Linked DNA regions of Coturnix japonica. The protein of the gene in region 1 interacts with the protein of each later gene in a pairwise test. Links are inferred from orthologs where the notes say so. Each region holds a gene or a part of one and is shown in the gene's direction. Other genes may lie near its edges.

Region 1 (3,749 bases):
GTTGCAAAAGCCCTTGCACTTTGATCCAATTGATTGCTGCTTGAAACCACTGCTTGGTTGAGCAAAGCACTACCTGACTCACTGCGGCCCTCATTCTACCACCATTCTGTGTCAAAGCGCCCTGCTGCACCACAGTTCAGTGCTGTGTAGGGTCACAACTAACACGGGAAAAGGAATGAGTGTGACAAAAAAAAGGCTCAGAGATTAAATATACCTGAAAGCATTTTTTTTCCTTAACACACCAATTCTCTAGGCCAACCAGAACTTCAATGGGCCTTCCGCCAGCTTTTGGTATCCCTGTTTTAAAACCTGTTGACAGGTTTTAAATGGATTGCACAATAGTTTTAGAGGACTGGAGGCAGCTCTGTGGTGTTACCAGCCAACATGATTTACACTGAGTTCCTACACATGAGATTATCCTCACACCACAGCAAGACAGCAGCTCCTCCGCTGCACAGCGTCCTCTGGGAAACCGAGCTGTTAATGAAGGATGAGGAGGAGCAGGCACTCGGTGTCCTACGGAAATCCATGATTGTGTTTCATGCTTAAAAGAGAAATTCGAATCTTTAATTTACGAATATCACTAGGTAGAGCCTGACTTGGTGACGCTAGAATTAATTAGCGATTAAGTGCACTTGGTCCAAAATTCAGAGCAACGTGCAACCCGTCTATGGAGCAGTGCCTCAGGAATCCCGCTTCCAGAACAGTACACGTTCGACATTATTGCCGTACAACAGCGCAGAGCAACAAACTGAAAGACCAAACTCAGACCAGACCGCCCCGCCCCGCCCCGCAGTTGGCGGCGTACGCGAGACTAACTGCGCCTACGCGAGCGTGGCGCATGCGCGCAATAGACGCCGTGCATCCAGCCCCCACCCGGGCAGGCAGCGCCCCTTTCTAGTAACTTCCCCGAAGAGCTGCGTCATCAATGCGCGCCGCGGCCAGGACGGGTATTTCCGCCCGGCGCTACGGGAGCGGGCAGAGCCCGTTGGGGGGTGAGGTGAGAGTAGGGAGTGTTGTGCTTGTTCCGAGCTGACGGGCGTTAGGTGCCGGCCCGGCCCCGCTCACGATGTCAGACAGCACAGACAGCCCCGCGGGGCGCCGCAGTCCCCCGGAGACTCCTGCTCAGGGCTCAGCTGCCGACGAACCGCGCATTATCAGAGTCACGGTGAAGACTCCCAAAGAGAAAGAGGAGTTCTCTGTTGCCGAAACCAGCAGCATCCGGCAGGTGAGGGGCGGCGAGGAGCGAGGGAAACGCGGCCTGCCGGCCGAGCTCTGCCGCGCTCCGCGGCCTCACGCTGCAGGGCTGGGGCCCGTGCCCGTGACGAAGCGACTGCTGCCTGCCCGAGCTCCGCGGGGCCGGGCCGGAGAGCGGCGGGGCTCGGTCGTGGTCCGCTCCCGGCGGGGCGGCCGCATCCCCCCCCCGACCTCTCGCTACCCGCGGTTGTGTGTCGGCTCGGGAGGAGGCCCGGCCCGGCTCTTGTTGCGTTGCCCGGCCCGGCTGACTCAGGCTGGCAGCGGGAGGCGGCAGCTTGCTTGCCGGTGAGGCTGCGGAGAGCGTGCGCAATCACCTTGCTGAGAGCGTTGTGGGGCCGGTCGTTATCTGGATAAAATGTGCTCTAAAAAAACAACACTACCAAAAAAAACCCAAACAAACAAAAAAAAAACCCAAACAACTGAGAACGCCACGGCGAGCATCAGAATTTTAGGGAAGTTGTCTTTTTCGAGAGATTATAGAATTTGCAGTGTAAATAAAGTGCAACTTCAGCTGCACTTTTCTTATGAAAGCCTGTGCCCCCTCCACCCCAACCCTGGTACCTTCGGTTTGAAAGAAGTAGTGAATCATCATCTCGATTTCCTGTAATGCTCCTGTAATGTTTTTTTGTGGAAGTTTTCTGTGCAGGTGTTGATGGGGGCTTTTATTTGAGTTAGAGGGCAACCAACCATAGAGGAACTACAATCAAAGCCTAAGGTAGAGTCTGTAAAATCAGCCTTCTGTTTGTGAAGGAGATGGATACTGTTTTGCTAAGATACTCCAAAAGATGCAGTTACTTGGAGGGGATTCAGAGCTTACTTTGTCCATATGATTTATCTGAAATGTTCTTTAAAGTATCTTTGGATGAGGTGCCTCAGTTTGAATTCTTTTTTTTTTTCCCCCTTCTTGCATGTGACTTGTAACTGCAAAGTAAAACATGGGCATGTATGTGAGCTCTGCTGCCACAGAAATCCAGCCATGAAAGTTGACAACCTGAGTGACAGGTTACAAAGCTGACATTATTTTATTTTAGCTCTGGGTGTATGGTTGGTTGATTTTCCTAGCATGCATACCTAGGATGTAAAGTAACAGATCTCGTACACTTCAACATGTAAGTATACATACTATTTCCACTGAAGTGATGGTTTATTCTTAGAATTGCTTTATATATTAAAATGTAGTGCCACACATGTGATGAGTTAATATAGGGTTCTTTCTAGGGAATCTTTGGTGGTTGTCAGGTTCCACTGGGAGGTGTTGCCCATGCCAGAGGTGGTGTGGGCCAGGCCTGTATTTAGTCCAAAACCTGTTTTTGAGAGTCTTGGCTATTTAAGTTTCTCATTAGCACATCGACCTTATTATGGTGCCTGTATTATCAAACCCAGCAGCGTACAGCTTAGCTCCTCAAAGCTTGTGGGATGAGACTCTGCTTTTAGGCTTCAGATGTCCTGCTTATCTGGGAAACACAGCCTTTCCTAAACTGAATGTCAGTTTGCCAAGGAGTTTGAATTAGTTGCTGAAGGCTCTGAATTTATCTCCAGGTGTCACCACTGTTGTCAAAATGCAAAGCTTGATATCATTTCTTATGGTTAAACCAGAAGATGCTATGTGGTTATCAAAGGGGAATACAAGAGGTGAAGTAAAAGCCCTGAGTGTAGTACCAGCAACTGGGCTAGAATTTAAATCTTTGTTCTACCTAGTTGCTGTGAGGCGACAAGATGCTGGTATTTCTTTCAAGTTTTTCTCATTATTTTGCTTATAAGCATCCCAGAAATAAGCTTAATTGAGGTCCTCTCTCCAGCTGCTGGGGAAGTGATACTCTTCTGTCTTTGGGCTTTTTGCAGCATCCTACCTGCTACTCTATCTGCAAACTTAATCTAGGCATTTCTCCCAAAGGTGAAATGGCAGCGTTTGCTTTTAATGTTTGCAGAAATCTGTCAGAAGGGGGTACTTTTTTTCCTCTTCTAAGCAACATCAGCACTGTTATAAAGTTACTGGAAAGTTCTTTATGGGGTCTTTTTTAATTTTTTTGGAGATTCATATTCCAGATCTAACAGGAGGAAAGTATCTATCACCAAAAACAATGTAATTGCAAATTATTTGGATACTTAAGGAGGTGTAAACAAATTTACTTAAGGTGAAATTTATATTTACAAATTTATCTTTAGCAGGATTTTTTTTTTTTTTTAAATATGAAGGCCAGTTGGGATGCCAGGTTGTTTTGTGATCAGTTGTCTTAAAAGCAAATGTCTAAATAAGCTAGCAAGCACACTTTACTAAAAGAAGACATATGATTTTAAGTAGTTAATAGAAGATGCTGCTTGAAATTTAATTGTTGTCCACTTATCTTAAGCGCTAAACATTTGACAGTACATTAGAGGTACAGACTATTTGCAGTTATACCTTGGTTCCCATGAAGTAAGATTGCCCCTGGAGGCCCACCATTTGCTGTGGGTCCTAAGCTGTCACAACTACCACTAAAATACACAGTGTC
Region 2 (3,649 bases), on another chromosome or scaffold:
TTTTAATAGAATGTGAGAAATGCTGACTTTGGGAAAAAGTCAAAAAATCCTGTTTTCCTCTGAGCAGAAAACAGTCGCGCTTGTGGCAGGTGGAGGAATCTGGTGCTGGGTGTACTGCAGGGAAAATGAACTGCTGTGCTGAGCTGGGTCCAGGCTGCTGCTCTGGGCTGTCCCTGCTACCTTACATGGAAGCATACTGCTCCTCCCCAGGCTCAGTGCAGATGGTTTTGCAACCAGTCATTCCTCTTGCTTATACAAGCTATTCAATAACAGGGGTGCTGTCAGAACTTTGACTTGGTCTGGCTCTAGGCCTGTGCATGGTGAAGACTTTCTGTTCACTAGTCTTAATGCGATGTGGTTATATGCAAGGGCCATAAAAAGCTGCAGACTTTGGTGTGTTAATTGCTCTGTGCATAGAGCTCACATGGTTCTGTTAGGAGACTGGGACAGTCCAGGCTGAGTCAGGTAACTGTCCCCCAGTCTCTGGAACAATGTTGTTGCTGTTTGGAATCAGGATGTAGAAGGGTTGCTCCAAAAGTAATGCCTCCTGTTTTATGATGTTGGCCTGTGATGTCAGAGGCGGATGTTGCTGGTGTGGCAGTAGGGGCTGAACCTTCCCACCAATGTCCTGTTCCATTTTGTTGCTGTGTGACAGCTGGCAGCAGAGGGGCAGCCTGACAGAGTGGTGTCTGACATAGAAGTATGGAACAAAGGGGCAGAACAGAAAAAATGGCACCCATTGACATTCATTGATGATTGCTGAACCTATATGGAGACCAGGCAGTGGATATTGGTGCAGTCATGCTGGTGCCTTTCTGCATTGTCAATAGCAGCGTGAAGGACAAGCCGTGTTCCAGGTGACCTTGCACAGCTGTCATACAACAAGATGAAGAGTGCCTTGATCAGCTCATCTGCATGAATCAGCTAATGGTGGTGACTGTGTTGAAAAACAATGTTTTATAGCTGAGAATTTGCTCTATCAAATAATGTTATTGTGCTCTGTGTATCTGTGGTAGATTCTGTGGAAATAAATAGGAGACATTACTTTCGGAGCAACCTGTGTACTTTAAATGTACTAGATTTTGGAGCATTCACTTTTCAGGGAGCTCATGCATTGGGTTGACGATTGACCAAAGAAAGTTTTTAAGTGAAGCTTTAGGACCAGCCAACTTCAGATGGCTCTCTACACTAAAGCTATAGCTTTGATTTCAAGATCATGCCTGTGATTAGTGAATTGATAAAAACAGAACTGATTTATAAAGATTGGTTGAAGAGCAGAAAACTAAACTATATGGTGATAAGAAAAACTTTTTCAGGGAGTGAACAGGAAGCAATGCCAACTTCATTCTTTATGTGAAAATTCAATGTGTGCTTAAAAAAATAGTAGAATTTAATATGCAGAAGAGCAGCATTTAGTGCTCAAATATTGTAAAATGAACCCAAAACAGGGGGAGGCAGCACAGAATGGAAGCAGCTGACCTTCTGTTTAGTGGTTTGTGTTCCTGAAATAACCACTGTTTTAACCAAGTGTTTGTTGAACTGCCTGATATAATTGTTCCCCCTTCCTGCTTTTTTTTCCCCCAGACAATTTATGAAAACAGAATATACAGTCTGAAAGTAGAGTGTGGACCTAAATATCCAGAAGCACCTCCTACAGTTAGATTTGTAACTAAAATTAATATGAATGGAATAAATAATTCCAATGGAATGGTAAGTTTTTGTTTTTTACTATTTTACATGGTTTTCACGTGCAGCTTCTAATGAATGCTTTTTATTTGCAGTTTGCTTTAGTACTTTTTGTTTGCTCGTACCATTTCTTGGAGTAGAAGAGGGGAGTAGGAGGGAACTGTACAAACTGAGAGAATTCTGGAATCAAAATGTACTTTTCTTGTACATTTGCAGCTTGCAAATAGTTCTGCATGGATTAATCATGCTTTCAGGAAAGCCACCTGCTTGCTTTTGCCTTCTTTGGTTTCTTCCACTGAGACTTCTTAAAAGATCTTTGGCTGGAGGGTGTGTGTGGGAGTTATTGACAGTTCTGATTGTGACAGGAATGGTGTTTTTGTCTGTTCTAGGTGGACCCCAGAGCCATATCAGTCCTAGCAAAATGGCAGAATTCTTTTAGCATCAAAGTTGTTCTGCAAGAGCTTCGGCGTCTAATGATGTCTAAAGAAAATATGAAACTTCCTCAGCCACCTGAAGGACAATGTTACAGCAATTAATTAAAAAAATAATCATGCCCCCTTATTCAATTTAAGCTGTCTTCATTTTCCACAGTAGTAAATTTTCTAGATGCATCTTGTAGACCTCAAAATACTGGAAAGGAAGTTCCCATTCAGAGGAGATTTTTCTTGAGATACTGTAAATGATACTAATTTTTTTTTCATTTGAAATATAAGTTGTGCTATAACAAATAATCCTGTTGTGTAACCACTGTCCACATAGCTGAACTTCTGGTATCAGGAAGAGTTGATTTAAATTTATTACTGTCAAGACCAGTGTGGCACATCTAACTTAACTGTGAAGCATACATCCCACAATCACCTTGCTGTGTGTCTGGCCAGGATTGTTTTGTTGTTTATTTTCTTTTTCTGTCTTTTGCAATAGAGTTGAAGCTCAGGGCTGTTTATTAGAATAGGCACAAAGGTTTTCTTTCCAGTACGACACTGGGCTTTATGGACTACTAATGGGGATGTGTGCTAACCTCCGTCATCCCTCCCTTTGTGCTATCTCTAGTAAAGGCTGAATGTGACTGTAGTCTTTTTTGGTTTTATATTTTTTTTTCATGCCATGGTAATCTGGGGCGAGCTTTCCTCCTTTCCTCTGGCCAAGGCATAGATTGTATTCCTCTTCCTGATCTCCCTCACCAGTAATGTGAGCATTGGGTGAGAGATTCGGGGTTCTTTTAATCTCTTCCCTCTTCCCCTCTTTTTAGCAGGGATGCTGCTTTCTTTTTGCCCCTCTCTATGTCTCTTCTCACCCTTGGATGGCAGGGGTAAGCACTGGGGCAATAACTTGACCTATTCCCTCCTGCTTATCGTTTTGGTTTTGCAACAAATATAGTCTTCACCAGCCTGGGAATCAAGAGTATCCATTCTGATCGCAAACGTGGATGTTCCCTGTCCCTCTGGCTCTGCTGCCACACCACCCAGCTGGCTGCGGCTGATGTTAGATAGGCTTTTGACATGATGAAAAGAGCAGTAATATACCAGGATGACCAAAATCTGCTGCCAGGCTGCACGTAGGTTCAAAACACACACTCCAATCTGAGTAGCTGTATTTCTGGTGCTTTGGAATGACCCGGGAATGTTGACTAACTGAGTGCAGCACCCAGGTTGGCGCTTCTGAGGGTCTGACAGACAAATTGAGTCAGCGTAGATTCCATCAGGATTCTCTGAGTCTTGGAAGAGGAAACGCCCTGGTGAAGATCCGGGGAAGTGGTGCAGAGTGAGGACCAGTATTGGCTTTGCATCCTGGCAAATTGCTGCCTTTTCTGTTTTACTGTTGGACCACTAACTGCAGTGTGGATGCAAGCTTACATGCAGCCAACCTAGTGTGTCTGGAATTTTATGAAAAGATCAAGTGTTTGTGTAAAAAAAGAAAAAAAGAAAAAGAAAAAAAGAAAATAAAACTCCATTTTAAAGCAGCA
Region 3 (3,743 bases), on another chromosome or scaffold:
TTCGGGGCTTCTCCTTTAAGATCTCTTGTCTTTACATCTCTCATTCCAACTCTCCACTCTTTTGATTTCTAGGCTGAACAAATATCCAGTTCAGATACTCCAAGGCCATACACTGCTATTAAGGTTCCAAGCTATTAAGCTTCCAAGCTCCCACCTTTGACCAAACTGGTCCCAACATTGAAATTCATGCTTTTTACCCTTCTTTTTTGGTTCCTTACCATGCTATCCAGGTAACGGTTCTGTTCATCAGCATCTTTATCAATATCCAGAGCCAGCTACACAGCATAAGAGAGGAAATTGACGTTAATGAACACCAAGACAACCTGGAACGCATCTAGGCCCACACTAGAGGATGTGGTGGAGGTTTGTTAAGCACAGCCACAAAACAAGGCCTCTCACTCACTGCAGTTTGGGGTTGTGGGAATCCTTTTGCTGTGGAAATAATCTGGGAAAGCTGGCAGAAACTTCCCTATGTTGGACATATGACAACAGCTGACGGACCAGCACTGCCTCCTACTGCTACACGTCAGCCATCGTATGCCCACAGCACTGAGGAAGCCCACACAACTGCGTTGTCCCTGAGACCCTGCAAGCGTCCATAGCAGCGCCAGCAACTCACCGACTTCAGCCTGGTGACTTTGCTGGCCAGGTTGTCTGTCATGCGCTTGTTCTCCACGTCCAGCATATCCTCCATAGCAACCGCATTCTGTCCTGAGGAGAAAAGAAACGCGTCTCATCATCCCGACTGGGGAGCATGGCACATCCCCAAGATGGCGGCGGGGTGCCCCAAGATGGCGGCGGGGCGCCCCCTTTAGCAGCCCCTCAGCGCGCCCCTCACTCCTTCCCCCTCACCTCGCCCCCAGTCCGCCATGGCGGCACACGGCGAAAGGCGGCTCCGCCCGGCAGGAGGAGCTCCGCCTCTGTAAAATGGCCGCTGGGCCTTCGCCTTCCCTGTTGGGTAGTGAGGAGCGGGGAGCTATTACGGGAAGCACCGTGATCTGCTGCGGTAATCCTCGGGTGGGGAGGGGGGGGTGTCCCAGCGCTGTGCTGGGAGGGCATGCATTAAACGTCGGAAAGCAAAGAGGAAAGAAGAGGATTAGAGGGGCAGAGAGGCTGTACGTGGTTCACCCGTCTGCTTTATGGACGCAGCAGTGAGCCGGCTCGCTTGATTTTTGTTTCTTTTTCCCCACCCCCTTTCTCACTGCCTCTCAGTTCTCAAGGATCGAGGTCCCTTTGCACCGCTGTTATCCAGGAGCTCTGGAAGCCTTTCCTCTCTGCTTCCCATCCTGCTGTAGCTGAGCTGTTGGTATCATGGAGCTCAGGACCGTAGTGGCCACGGTGGAAAGCGGGGAGCAAGACGCGGTCCTCAAGGTGCTTCAGATCTACAACCAGGAGGTGAGTGAGCATCACACCTCAGCCTGATGTCACCTGCTGCTGTCAGCAAGCCTGGAAGCAGGTTGGGCCGTGTTATGGGTTCACAGTGCTGCCCAGCTATCCCATCTCCTCTGAGCATCTGTCTCTGCATTATTGCCCTGGAGATGTCATAGACTGCTTTGTTTTGTTACTTGCAAGCTGCTTCTTAATGATGCTTTACTAGGAAGCAGCTAAGAAGCCTCCCTTTATCTTGTTTATGCTGGAAGAAAAGTACATGGGAAGGATTTTCTTTATTATCCAGATTGCAAGTTAAACCCGGTAGGGGAATAATCATGGGCATGAGGAGTAGGAGGAGCCTTGATGCTAGGCAAGGTTTGGAGGTAATAAAACTCACACCTAGGGAGGAGCTGCAGGTAGGATTGTTGTGATTTGTAAGCAAAAGACAATTAGGAGTTGGTGTGAATGGATGCTGGGATTGGATTAGGGTGCCTGATCTGAAAGCTGGCGCATGAAATAATGAGTGTAGAACATGAAAAAGACCGGGTCAGGAAGCTGAAGTGCGAGTGACTCTAACCTTAGATCATCTGCAGGGGTAGTTCCCTTTTGAAACTGTCTGCCAGGGAAATTTCCTTCAGAGGGTTTCCACCAGGCTAGGGCTGGCCCTGCAGATCTGTGACTCATTCTGCACCATTCTGAAGTAGGAGGGAAGCTGGTGGGGAAAACCTGTGCTTATCTTACAAGCATGTGCACTTCCCTTCCTGCACTAACTGTTTCCAGCAGTCGGTTTTGAAACAGCAGGTCCCTTTTAAAAGGTTGGTCTGCAGGATTAGCGTTGCTGGCAGCAGCTGGTGTGCTGGAGAAATTAGGATAGTAAATGGCATTTGTTGTGCAACCGTGTTGAGGCACTAAATCCAATGCTTTGAATTCCTCCAGCTGGTTTCTTTGTCAGCGTGTAGAGCATAGGAAACTTGTGAGGATGTCAGTCATTTTGCTAGCTTGTCTGGGAGAAATGAGCTGAAGAGATTAAACTGATTATAAGCCAACCGACTTCCTTGCATAGTTTTTTTTACTACAAAAGCAGGTGCTGTTATATTCTTCTCTAGGTATATATATATATTTAATTCACTATTAAATATGCAGTCAGTTCCTGGTTGTCGGGAATAGAATACAGCTAAAGCCAAACCCACAGGTGTGTTATGGAAATATTTGTGAATGAGATTACAGGAGCCTGCAAAGAAGCTCTGGAAATGCCTTTGTGCACGAGGTCAGTCTGACTAACGTTCTGACTGACATGAGAAGGTTCACAGATGCAAGGGAAAGCTCCGTTCTGCATAGAGTGGAGCGTTCACCTGTTTTAATTGGCTGTGTGTGAAGAACGTGAGCTGAATAACAGTCCTACTTCAGGATGCTGTAGGAAGAACATAAGGATTTGTTTGCAAGTAGCAAGGAAGTGATGCTTTCTATTAGGAAGGAAAAGAAACAATAACAAAGGGGAGAAGAGCGTACACATAGCTTGGTAGAGTCATTAAGCGTAATCAAGTTTACCCAGGGAAGCTGTGGATACCAGGCCAGGCTGAATGGGGTTTTGGACAACCTGAGCTTGTGGTGTTCATGCCCATGGCAAGGGGTTGGAATTCAGATGATCTTTAAGGTCCCTTAAGACCCAAACTATACTATGAGTTATGGGATATTTGGAATGTATTGAATACCCACCTCACAGCTGCAGTATATAAAATTAAGCTGGTCCATCAGATGGGCACAGCTTTGGCCTGTGACATGTGGTGTCCACCACTGAGCCAGCAGAAGAGAGTATGGGGTGTTCATCGAATGTTTTTCAGGCATGAAAGAGAAGGAAAACAATTCTGACTTGGCAGCATGGGCTGTATCTGGGCTTTTCAAATGAGGTTCGTTCCCTGCTTGTTAAAATGTAGCTGAAGTTGCTGGATACAAACAGTGTTGAACAGAGAAGACAATAATGAAGCAAAGCTCTCAGCAACAGGAAAAACTGTCCTTGTGTCTGGCTCCTACCTATGCTGTTTGTTAAAGAGGTGTGCAGTATTCATAGGTTTTTTAACACTCTTTGCCTCTTTGATTCCCTGTGCTGGTAAAGACTTCTTGAGAAGGCTTACTTGTCTTTATAGAGTGCTTTTCAGAGTTGCTTTCCAAGCTTATTCCCTGTTTGGGAAAGGCAGATTTGTGGATTTTTAAACTCATACTTTCTTTTCTGCTCTACAGAAATCTCAATGCTTTACCTTTGATGATGAGGAACGGGAGGAGAGGAAGGTAGGCGTGCTCTTTGGCTTCTTGTTCTTGTTGTCCTGTAGATGGTGGCTGGGGATAAAAATCAGTATTCTTCCAACATTAGCAAT

Evidence for each region.
Region 2: the proteins of UBQLN1 (region 1) and ubiquitin-conjugating enzyme E2 variant 1 interact in binary tests that used the Homo sapiens proteins (3 or more experiments, as listed by UniProt). The link is inferred for Coturnix japonica from reciprocal best matches to the Homo sapiens genes UBQLN1 and UBE2V1.
Region 3: the proteins of UBQLN1 (region 1) and RIC8A interact in binary tests that used the Homo sapiens proteins (3 or more experiments, as listed by UniProt). The link is inferred for Coturnix japonica from reciprocal best matches to the Homo sapiens genes UBQLN1 and RIC8A.

Annotation. Positions count from the first base shown.
Region 1 is NC_029547.1:36,156,477-36,160,225, reverse strand, and holds the start of UBQLN1 (ubiquilin-1), read left to right. Parts: upstream 1-1,069; coding exon 1,070-1,228; intron 1,229-3,749. UniProt on the Homo sapiens protein: Plays an important role in the regulation of different protein degradation mechanisms and pathways including ubiquitin-proteasome system (UPS), autophagy and endoplasmic reticulum-associated protein degradation (ERAD) pathway.
Region 2 is NC_029535.1:12,304,268-12,307,916, forward strand, and holds part of ubiquitin-conjugating enzyme E2 variant 1, read left to right. Parts: intron 1-1,584; coding exon 1,585-1,710; intron 1,711-2,075; coding exon 2,076-2,222; 3' UTR 2,223-3,649. UniProt on the Homo sapiens protein: Has no ubiquitin ligase activity on its own. The UBE2V1-UBE2N heterodimer catalyzes the synthesis of non-canonical poly-ubiquitin chains that are linked through Lys-63.
Region 3 is NC_029520.1:1,400,527-1,404,269, reverse strand, and holds the start of RIC8A (synembryn-A), read left to right. Parts: upstream 1-890; 5' UTR 891-1,006; intron 1,007-1,024; exon of another isoform or gene 1,025-1,115; intron 1,116-1,212; 5' UTR 1,213-1,311; coding exon 1,312-1,395; intron 1,396-3,609; coding exon 3,610-3,657; intron 3,658-3,743. Other genes in the region: BET1L (BET1-like protein), read right to left, coding at 219-275, 620-711, 853-871.